Drosophila melanogaster: one gene and its partner. The protein of the gene in region 1 interacts with the protein of each later gene in a biochemical or structural test. Each region holds a gene or a part of one and is shown on either strand. Other genes may lie near its edges. The genes, in order: endos and gwl.

Evidence for each region.
Region 2: of the proteins of endos (region 1) and gwl, one has a biochemical effect on the other in vitro, tested with the Drosophila melanogaster proteins (2 studies listed by BioGRID).

The regions. Positions count from the first base shown.
Region 1 is NT_037436.4:14,028,943-14,033,603, reverse strand, and holds endos (endosulfine), read left to right. Parts: upstream 1-1,897; 5' UTR 1,898-2,215; exon of another isoform or gene 2,216-2,296; intron 2,297-2,373; exon of another isoform or gene 2,374-2,601; 5' UTR 2,602-2,611; coding exon 2,612-2,797; intron 2,798-3,183; coding exon 3,184-3,357; 3' UTR 3,358-4,025; downstream 4,026-4,661. Other genes in the region: CG6650 (uncharacterized protein), read right to left, coding at 1-647, 707-871, 961-1,179, 1,234-1,376.
Region 2 is NT_033777.3:18,744,177-18,750,889, reverse strand, and holds gwl (greatwall), read right to left. Parts: upstream 4,521-6,713; 5' UTR 4,319-4,520; coding exon 4,169-4,318; intron 3,654-4,168; coding exon 2,820-3,653; intron 2,760-2,819; coding exon 2,601-2,759; intron 2,530-2,600; coding exon 2,401-2,529; intron 2,225-2,400; coding exon 1,222-2,224; intron 1,152-1,221; coding exon 886-1,151; 3' UTR 530-885; downstream 1-529. Other genes in the region: Epg5 (ectopic P-granules autophagy protein 5), read left to right, coding at 6-318; PGS1 (phosphatidylglycerophosphate synthase 1), read left to right, coding at 5,097-6,161, 6,220-6,639.

The DNA of each region.
Region 1 (4,661 bases):
CCGCTGTGGTAAGGATCGCCTGATAGGCCAACGTGTGCACATGTATGCGCGAGATAGAGCGACGCTTGGCATCGCTTGAGCTTCGGTCTTCGTAATCTTCAAGGAGACTAATGAAAACCTGCCGCATCTGGTCAAGGGTGTGAGCTATGCGCGGATTCCAGTCGGTGGCTAAGGTCGTCCGTCCGTGAGCAAGAACCTGCTGCAGGTTAGAGAGCTCTTGTTCGTTCATTCCCAGGGAGTCTACGTAGGGCAGTACAAAGTGTCGAAGCTGTTGAAGCAGCTGCAACTCCACGTAAGAAGCCATCTCGAAGTGGTTCAGAGTGCCCTGCGGCTGGCTGGTTAGTTGCCTTTGTACTTGCTGCAGGCGCGCCTCTCGCTCACCAGACTTAAAGGTGAACATGTCCATCATTTGCAGCCCGCTGACAACCAACAGCTGTGGCTGATACATCTTCAAAGCATCCGTCAACTGCTCCACGGCCCGCAGATGCGGATTATTTCGATCGTTGTGCAGAATGTAGCGATTGGCGCGAGGTGCCACATATGGGCCCCATTTGTCACCAGCCTTGTACTCCAGAATAAGATGGATGTCATCGTTTGGAATCTCGTCACCAGCCAGACGAATCTCCTTTGGCAGCAGTGGCCGCAGCCTGAAGAAGTTTTTACATTAAGTTCCATGAAATAATTTGTTATTCAGATAGGTAATTACTTTCTAGACATGTGGGCGCCCAGTAGCACTTGAGCTCCCTCCATAAAAAAGCGCACGGCCATCAGTGGGGCGTTACCACCCATGTACCAATTGATCCTCTCCTTGTCCATCACCTTGGCGTAGCCCACCAGCTGTGTGAAGAGGGTACTGTTTGCCATCACTCGCCTGAAAAGTGGACCAGTATGAAATACTTTGTTAGTAACTTGCATAGCCAATAAAATATTGGATATCCAAGATCCTTCCATGCAACTTACTCCGCTGCAGCGCCGTTCTGAAAGTAATAGGCAAAGGACTGCAAGAGCTCGTCCTCGTTGTTCACGACCGCCCGAGATCCTGTAGTGGCTGCTGCGACTGGAATCCGGCGCCCATAGTAGCGATCCAGAAATTCAGTGGCGTTTATCTGCAAGTCCGTGCAGGCTCCGTAGCCGATGGCCACCTTGGGTGCCGGTTCCAACGCGGTCCGCTTCAGGGATCTGAAATACAAATGCATATATAGCTAGTGCTGCAGTGTAGCCGAATGAACTCACCCCTCGATTGCCAGGAGACCGGTGAGCAGGACAGTCGTCCTGTTAAGCGTCTGCAGGGCGATGAATGCCTGCCAAATTATGGAAACAAAGGCCGTTAGGACGGAACAGCCGGTGATCCATCCCATGTATCGCAGGGCGGTCATTGTGGGCGTGGATTGTTGTGTGATTGGTTCGCCTCAGTTTGGGCTTTCCAAACTATTTTGTATGTGACAATCCGCCTTCCGGCTACGCCAACTTTCTTATCAGAATTATCGCTCTTTTTCCTTTGAGATGCTTCAAAGCTAGCGATGACACTATCTGCAGTTCTTGGACTACAGCGATAGTCCAACCAACAGTTACATTTGAATGCTATACTGCTATACTATATTTGAATATATTAAAATAAATTTAAATTGAAATGTGCACTTATAAGAGCGCCCTCTCAATGTGTTAATTTGTTCAATGCATAGAACAGCTTACATTGTGTTTAAACATCTTTTTTTGAGCATATTTTTTCGCTAACATATTGGGAATATGTATGTTTATTTGATCCTCGTAGTTTATATTTTAATTTTTTAAGCAAACAAATAAAATTGCAATTGCTTATCGATGACAACAATGGTTTGAGCCACAGCTACTCGAAGCTGGACAGTTCAGTATTGAGCAACTGTAGTTTCGATAAACGATATGTTCCGAAATAACGCCTTCTGCTATCGAAGACAGTCTTGCGTCTGTAAAGTGATAAAATAATTTTACAATTGAGTCGCCTTGGGAATTTCAGTCACTCTCCACACACCAAATACATAGCTCGTGTAACAGCCTGATTTAGTCGAACAGCACATCATTTGCCGGAATCGTTAGCGAATAGCAGCACTCTCCGCTAAGTCGGCACGCTAATTGGCAAAACCGATTCGATTCCAGGGAAGGAGACACACTGATAGACGGGTGAAGAACAAAAGGAGAAGGAAAACAACAGTTAATCGTCAAATTTTACAGGCAAAAGGTGAGCAACTACGCCTTGCACACAAACAACCGCATCGACGAGCAAACGCACGCACACACAAGCCTTATCGCCTGCGTAGTGGTTGGTGTATATAAAAAATTAAAACAATATTTGCACATCCGATTATTACTATAATATTTCGCGTCCACATATATTAGCAAGTGTGCGTGCGCCTGCCCTGGATTTACGTGCCAGTGTTTGTGCGAGCCTAGCGCGTTTGTGTCTGTGTGTGTGTGTAATGAAATGCAATTTTCTCTTGGCATTTTGCGCGCCTCCGATTTTCGCTGCCCCTCTGCAATTCCGCCGCCTCCCCCTCCTTTTGCCATTTAAGTTCTCCCGTGTCGCCATTGTCGCACCTTGGCTAATCCCAGTACTATCACCCGTAGGCAGCACACAATGAGCTCCGCGGAAGAAAACAGCAACAGCCCGGCCACCACGCCCCAGGACACCGAGACCACCGAGCAGGCTAACCTCACGGATCTCGAGAAGATCGAGGAGGAGAAACTCAAGTCCAAGTATCCCAGCGGAATGCGCGTGCCGGGCGGACACTCGGCCTTCCTCCAGAAAAGGCTGCAGAAGGGGGTAAGTGATTAGCACAATTCGAAAACAATCAAACAATAAGTTTACTAACTTTCGGTGTTCGGGGATACCCAAACCCTGTAATATGAATATCAATTAAAAATAATAATAATAATATTATTTAGTAGTATTTAGTACCCGTTGTTTAAAGGAAAATAACAATTCATGTTTCCTCTATTCTAAGATCCATACTATTTGGCAATTGCTTTCTGAAATCAATGAAACTCAATAATCACAGCGCATAGTTTATATCAACTTGATGATCTGGTAAACGAAATCAGATTGTTACATTAAGTTTGCATTTGGAAGATATCTCCGTTTTAGTTCTAAAAAGCTATTTGATTATATAAGAGAAATCTAATATGTATTCCTTCATATCCTTCCCACAGCAAAAGTTCTTCGACTCGGGCGATTACCAGATGGCCAAGCAGAAGGGTGGCGGCGTCAAGCAGGTCTTTGCCAACAAGGTGACCACCGGGGAGGCCATTCCCACGCCCGAAACCGTGCCGGCGCGCAAGACTTCGATCATCCAACCCTGTAACAAGTTCCCGGCGACGAGCTAATTTACTCACCACTCAACACTCACCTCTACTGTATCCACAACCTCAAGTGCAGCCAGTTCTCCGTTCCCCACTTCAAATGCTCTATACCTAATTTTAATGAAAAACCTAATGCTAAGATGGCTGCTGCCGGATTGTGCGGGCATTTCGCGACAGTTTAAACTGAAATTCTAGCACCATGTTCCGTGTTTCCCCCGTTAAATTCAATCGCCATCCGCACTGGCCAATCAATCTCAAGATCAACTCATCAGTCCATCTCTCAGGCCGGGGAAGCGAAGATGGCGAGCCGAGCAGCGCGAAATTTATTGCAACAGTTATATATATCTCTATCTTTGTAACATTAAACTAACTTACCCTCGTCGTACATAGTTGTAAGTATTACGAGCATAATAAATTTAAGTTGGAGCAGCCAGCCACACACACACACACGTTCTCGTACATTACTGGGATTCCATCAAAAGTTTTTAAAAGTTCACCATGTTCTATGGAAAATGTTTTTATATTTTTTTTTTTGCATTCATTCTATAAGCAGTTGACGGAATTTCACCAACTAATTGATAATAACATAGGTACTGCTGCTTGCAGAGCTAAATTTTTGATGCAAAAACCAAACAGTCGAGTTAAAATGAATTTGTAAATCAAGCAGAGCTAAAATAAATGTATGTACGTATACTTATAAATGTGTTGATTTCCTGGGGCGCTAACCCAACAACTGAATCGGAAATGTGCCATACAAATGTTTACTTAAATTATAAGTGCCCGGAGTGGAGTCTAATTAACTAGGAAACGTTCCTTCGAGCGGTGTGGTATGGTAATTGGTTGTTCAAATTGGACGGGAACGAAATGAAATCACCAAAATAGGTGGGAAATACACAATATTTAATACAAATAGATGGGTTCATATATTTTCATACGAACATCGTGTTTTAGTTAAAAGTTAATCGAACTTGCAAAGTGAGTTTTAGGCCCAATTAAAAAAGTTTTAACCAATAAAATCGCTTTTTGGACCACAGTACAAATGAAATCAATCAAATATCCAAGTTTTCCACCAATCGATACCAGCAGATTAAGCATCCATATTGCCACACTTCTGGAACTATCGATAGTATCGCATAAACAGTGTTTTGTACCAACTCTAGGCGGAAGGCGCAGCGGTGATAAAAGAGAAAAAGTGATCTTTAAATGCAATTTTTCGGTTCCAAATTGCATTTGTTATGTGCTACGCGATAAGCACCGCATCGCACACCGTTTTTCGAAGTTCGCAAATGGCCAAGATCAGCGGAAAGACGAGAAAACACGCTGCAATG
Region 2 (6,713 bases), on another chromosome or scaffold:
TTCAGACGAAAGGTGTTAACTCGTTGCTTGGCTTGTGTGATCTTTTCGCTGTTTCCGGCCAATCGGGACCTTCGCATACCGTCAGAAGAGTACGAAAGTGCGCTCCGGGAGCTGTCTATGCTGCTGGCCAACAAGAAGTTCACCGACATCAAGCCCTTGATCGTTCGGGCCGTTAGCCTGCTCAAGGAATCCACATTTCCCGATATCCGGGCCGTACCTCATATGGTCTGCCGACTCATCAGCATCTTCTACGAGGAGAGCTACCTGACAACCATTCCAGAGGTCTGGGACTTTGAATTCAAGTTAATGGCCACGTAGCTTACCGACCAAGTGAAATATTCTAAACATCCTAACAGCCAGTTGTGTTATTTTCCAGGTGTTATATATCATCTAACTAGGTATAGGTTAAATAAAGTGATAAATTTTAAGCAATTTTCAAAATTGCATAAAATGTATAAAAGTGAACATTTATTTATACATACTTTTTAGCATAATACAAACATGGGGCCAAACACTGAAACTTTGTTTTAAATCTTGTAGACTATAACTTTATTTGATATACATGTCTCGAAAGTGCATACTTGAAGCTATTTGTTTAAGCGTAGTTACAATAACAAAATCGACATCAGTACCTGTATATAAACTCTTCACTGACCATGATCATCGACAATCATGACAGTAATAATCCACTAAATGTACACGAAAATATAATGATACACTTGAATGAACTTTAAACAAAATATAAATACGTAGGGCTACACGAACGATAACAGATGAACATTAAGGGTCTACTCTTAGGTATTGCTACATGAAAATATAAATAACGATAATACAGTGCTCGGTACGAGCACGCTGACACGGAGGCAGCCGGGCTCCGCTTGGCAATCATTCTTCTAGGGCAAAATTGGACAGCTGCAGGTGCTGAAGATTGTTGCGCGCATCGAAATATCCCGTATCAGTGGGATTGTCTGGTGTCGGGACAAATGGGGGCTCGGTATTGCCTATATTCTCCCAGTCGATGCAAGCAAAGTGACGCATTTGTTGCACTTCCTTTGCGGCCGGTCGCTCATTGGGATCCATGGTCAGGAGCAGTTCCACAGCCTCCATGGATTCGACGGATAATGCCTCATCACCTTCTGGCCATTCGATGTCTGTGAGGAATTGGTAACAAAAATATAGGTATAATATTTGCAAGAAAACTCTTGAAATAACAAAACTCACTCTTATTCAGAATGTTGTCAAATACTTTCTGAGGTGTCTCGTCGTTAAAGGGTGGAATGCCGGTCATGAACTCGTAGAAACAGACGCCCAGAGCCCACCAGTCGACGGCCGGACCGTGACCTTGCTTCAGCAGTAACTCCGGCGCCAGATAATCAGGTGTGCCCAAGATGCGCTCATTAGACACGCGAGCCCCGCGACGCACTGATTTCGGTGTGCGGAACGGGGTATTGATGTTAACGTTTTTCGGCGTCTTTGGTAGATTGCCGGCTCCATGATTGATAGGCGACATCGTGGGATCGTCGGACAGTTTCAGATGGTACTGAATGCCTGACATCTTATCGGCGGTCGCATGCTCCCGTTTCTTGTTCTCAATGGACAGCGGAAGAGCGAACCGAGTGGCCTTGAGCTTTCCAAGAAGACCACCATCCCGACGTGGCAACTTCTGTGAAGATACGGGCGTAGAGAAGACCACGTTGGCCACATTTGCTTCCGGACCAAGCAAATGATTTATGGGCATTTCGTCATCGGATAAAGAGCGCACCTTTAGCACACCACGGATGGGCGAGGAACGGGCCTTGCGCTTCTTGGGCGTGCTGCTGCCAATATTAAGGATTTCAATTTCCTGTGTTAGTCCGGTGTTGGTACTTCCATTGCTTGAACTGCAGCCATCGGTATCCATGCTGGACATGTTGTCGGAGCGATTGACCAAATTGATCTTTCGCTTCATGCCGCGCAGGAAGTCGGGGCGTTTAAAGTGCTTGGACAGATTCCGAAACGGCGAGTTCATGTTGATGCCACTCATCTCGTTGCCGTTGGTCACGTTATAACTGCGCGAGTAATCTGAACAGCTAAAATCCTCCTTGGATTGGCTTAGGTTGTCCACATTCTTCTCAATCGACGAAGCCGTGCTCTCGCTATTCAGATTCAAGTGGCAGCTGGAATAGTCGTCGCCCTTGCGACTGGACACCCCTGAATCCTCCGGCCCCTTTGAGATGCGATTTCGCTAAAGGGAACAGTAGAGGTAGTTATTAACTGAACTACCTACATATGTGGTATACATATCTTTTAACCTATTTAATGTTGGTTAGTTGTAAAGTTAGTTATAAAATACTAGTATTTTAATACAGAAAGGGAAACCGCACAATGGACAGACACACACACATGCACATGCCAACGCACCTCGTCGACCGATCGCCTGCGCACCATGGAAAACTCAAACGAAGCCTCGATTGCGTTATCTATCTTGGGCAAATGTTTGCCATCATTGGTGGCCATGTTGCTGCTGTCTTGCTCGGCCAGCTTGCAGCCCTTTCAGAGAATCAACCATTTATGCAAATAAATACAGAGATTACGGGTTTGGCCGATTTCCAGCCACTTACCTGACAGGGTGCCGCATCCAAGACGAATTCCACGCGCCGCTTGCTGGGGATCGCATTGCCCGCAGCAGCACCGTCCTTTGACTCCAGTGGTGGTGAGCACTTGCTCAGGTCGGCCGAGTTACAAGTGTGGAACGAACAAGACGAGCTGCTATCCTGGGGCTGAAGATTCGGAGAATGATAGATGAATAAATCCATTTTAATTGCAATATGTTTACCCACATTTACGTTTGTAGTGCAGGTATGAGTAATGGATTCATTGGCCTCCTCGGCAGAAAAGAAGGGGGAAACACCAGATATCTTGCTATCGCTCGTCTTCTCTGCATCATTGAGCGAGGTGTCGCCCTCGCTATCCGACAGCTCCATTATCAGACTATGCTTGTTGATGGCCTGCAGCAAGTGGGATGTCCCCGTGGCCACCGAGCCCATTCCGTTGTTTTGTCCACTTGAAACAGAACCGAAGTCATTCAGTTTCTTCTCTGACCCAAAAGACAGGTGCGAAGTAAGCGACAAAAGCTGGCCCGGCGTGCGGGCGTTTAAATTCGGTGAGCAGTTTATAAGGTCTGATATTTCCAGATCTCTTCGCATATCGATTTTGCTCAACCCAAAATCAGTAAGCTTCACATGGCCACTGGAGGAGAGCAACATGTTGTCCGGTTTAATATCTCTGTGGACAATTCCGTGCTGATGCAGATACTGCAGCGCCATCACCATCTCGGCCACGTAGAACCGGGCCGTGGGCTCGTCAAAATACCCAAACATGGCCAGCAGTGACTTGAGATCCCCGCCCACCATGTACTCCATCACCAGGTAGACGTAGGAGAGCGATTGCAGGGAGTAGAAGAGACTGACACAGAACTGAGAGCGGGAGAGGGCCAGGGCATTCCGCTCCGTGATTACCTGGGACACCATGTTCTTGTTGATCATCTCTGACTTGCGCATCACCTTGATGGCGAACAGCCGCTTCGAGTCGTTGTTCTTGTAGCCCAGGAAGACTTTTCCAAAGGCGCCGCGGCTGATTGGCTTAATGATGACAAAATCCTTGATAGTGGGAAGCTGTATAAGAAAGCGAATGTATCCATTACTATATAATAAAGTGACCTAAGTGGTGGTGGTAATTCTTATAGCCCAAGGCAGAACAAAGGAAAATAATATAGCTAAAGTTAGACATAGAAAAACTTCAGTTCTAGATATAAAAAATAAAAAATCTTAAAAAAGCATATGTGTATATATATAATTGGATAAAAGAAGATATATGTACATCAATAGCCAGTAAAAGGAAATGAAGAAAGGAGCTATGTAAAAAAAACAGAAGATAAATAGAACTGTAAAAATGTTTTTGAAATGGAAATCCTATATAACATCACATTTGAACGTACATATGTTTTTCGTTTTTCCTATAATACATAAACATAACCTTTTCATTAATTCTTGAACATGTACTGCCCTTTTTTAATCAATTTACATAAACACTGTGTTTAGAGGCATTTCAAATTTTCTTGATTAGCAACCGTGGCTAACTGTAAACCACCCACGTGTGGTAATCGCCAGTTTGCGATTCCTCCGCGTACCTTGGCATTCTGGGAGTGATTCTCCGGCTTGGTGGTAAGGATGTTGATCTTGTCCAGCAACTGCTCACTGTCGATCAGCGAGTGGGTCTTCTTGGGGGTTTTGTAGTCGATGTGGACATCCGATTGCGAAGTCGCATCGGCGTTTTCCATATCTTCCAGGTTTCCGACGGTCAGAGTGCGATTTTCTCGCGGTTTCGCACAATATATACAATTATCGTACAGAGATATACAATGTATAGAATTCGATATAGACCTGAATGCTATTAGCTTGTTTATTGCACAATTTTTATTTCAAACACACATTTAAAACAGCGCGTCTATTTTCTATGACCTGAACTAGAGGTGAAACTAATTCGATTCTTAGTATTATCGATGTTTCTAGAAATTTGACAACATCGATGTTATTGCAGTTTAAAATTAAACGATTTTTTAAACTAAAATTAAATATTACCAAAAAGAAATGCATATTAGTAAGATACCGGTTGAATATTTCAAGTAAATTTATTCAAATATTTCTTTATGCATATATATAAAAGTAGATATACACAAAAATGTTAAAAATGTAACAGTTAGTAACTATTGATAAATGGTTAGGCTTTTATTAATTTGATTTAAATATTATTTTTTTTTAAGAAACACATAGCAGGATCACCATATCACCATCACCATTATGAACAGTCGATAATTCCCGATAGCTATAAATTGTTATCGAATCCCAGCTCGCTTTGCAACACTTGCGTTCCACCTGGAATTTATTTACGTGCTGAAATTCGAAGTTTTTTTTGTGATAAAACAGCACTCCATGAATGAAAGTGTGTTCCGGATACAGCCAAACAGACAGTGAGCAATGCGCCATACCCTGTCATCAAATAGCAGCCGCCCAGAGTGAGGATCCGCTTGCCAATCCGTCAGAGAAATCCCCGCCAAGATGATGCCATACCTTCGCCGCCTTTTCAGCCAGGAGCTCTCTCCGGCTGCTCAGGGCGATTTTCTGGGCTGCTTGCAGCAGGCGCCCAGTGTCCTGGCCACCGGATTCCCTGGAGCACCCGCACTGGAGAGCCTAAGTTGGTTACACAACCTAGCGCCGTGCTTCCCGCTGCGAGGCGATCAAATTCAGGTCATCCACGAGCCAAAGCACTTCTACGAAACGCTGGTGCAACGAATCGGTCAGGCCAAACGCCGTATAGTGCTGGCCAGTTTGTACCTGGGCACTGGGCAACTGGAGAACGCAATGGTTCAGACGTTGCGTCACAGCCTGGAGCAACAGTCTGCCCTGAGGCTCAACGTGCTGTTGGACTTTACACGCGGCACGCGGGGAACCCTCAACTCCAAGACCATGTTGCTACCCCTGGTCCGCGACTTTGCGAGCCAGGTGCAGCTATCCCTGTACCATACGCCTGATCTGCGCGGGATGACAAAGCGACTAGCACCGCCACGGTGGAATGAGCTTCTCGGACTACAGCACATGAAGGTCTACCTGTTCGACGATGCCGTGATCATATCAGGCGCCAATCTGTCCAATGACTACTTCACCAACCGGCAGGATCGATACATACTCATTGAGGACAAACCGTTGGCGGATTTCTATGCGCAGTTCATCGAACGCGTTCAAGAGTTTAGTTTGGCAGTGGCGCCAGATGCCAGCGAGGGACTGCACCGCAACTGGCGAATACTGCCGTACGAGGGCACCAAGGAGCAGTTTATCCAGCTTGCCCGTAAACGTATTTCCGATTTAGTGCAGGAGACGTTTCAGCGGCAGGCGCGAACTAAAGAGCAGAATCCGCAGGCAGACACATGGATTTTTCCGCTGCTTGAGATGGGCCAGATCGGCATTCATCACGACAGCGTGGTGACCAAGCGGCTGCTCTCCAACTGCTTGTCTGGATCACGGCTGAAACTGGCCACCGGGTACTTCAACCTGACGCAGGAGTACATGGACACGCTCACGCACAAGTGCCTGGCCCAATGCAGCATACTGATGGCTCATCCAAATGTGAGTGGCTATCAGTAATTAGTTGACCAATAGTAACCCGATTTAATTCATTTTCCAGGCAAACGGCTTTCAGGGTGCCAAAGGACCAGCGGGCGGAATTCCGGCTGCCTACACACTGATAGCCAAGAGTTTCTACGAGAGCCTGGTCCGCCGGAAGCAAAACCACCGCGTTAACTTCTTCGAGTACGAAAAGCCCGGCTGGACGTACCATGCTAAAGGACTGTGGTACTACCTGCCAGAGGCAATACTGCCAAACCTCACGCTGATCGGCTCTTCGAACTTTGGCGAGCGATCGGTGAACCGCGATCTGGAGACACAGGTGTGCCTTGTGACGGCTAATAAGGATCTAAGCCAGCGGCTGCAGGCGGAAGCTGACCGGCTGTACGATCTGTCACAGACGGCGGAGCGGGAAATCGTCCAACGACCCGTTCCGCGATGGGTCCAGGCCGTCGTTCGCATATTCAGGAATTTCTTCTAGGCTCTTCGATATAGTAGTTTAATTTTTTTCGTTCTTTGTTAAGCCCCATATCCCAGGTAGTTAATTTAGTTTTA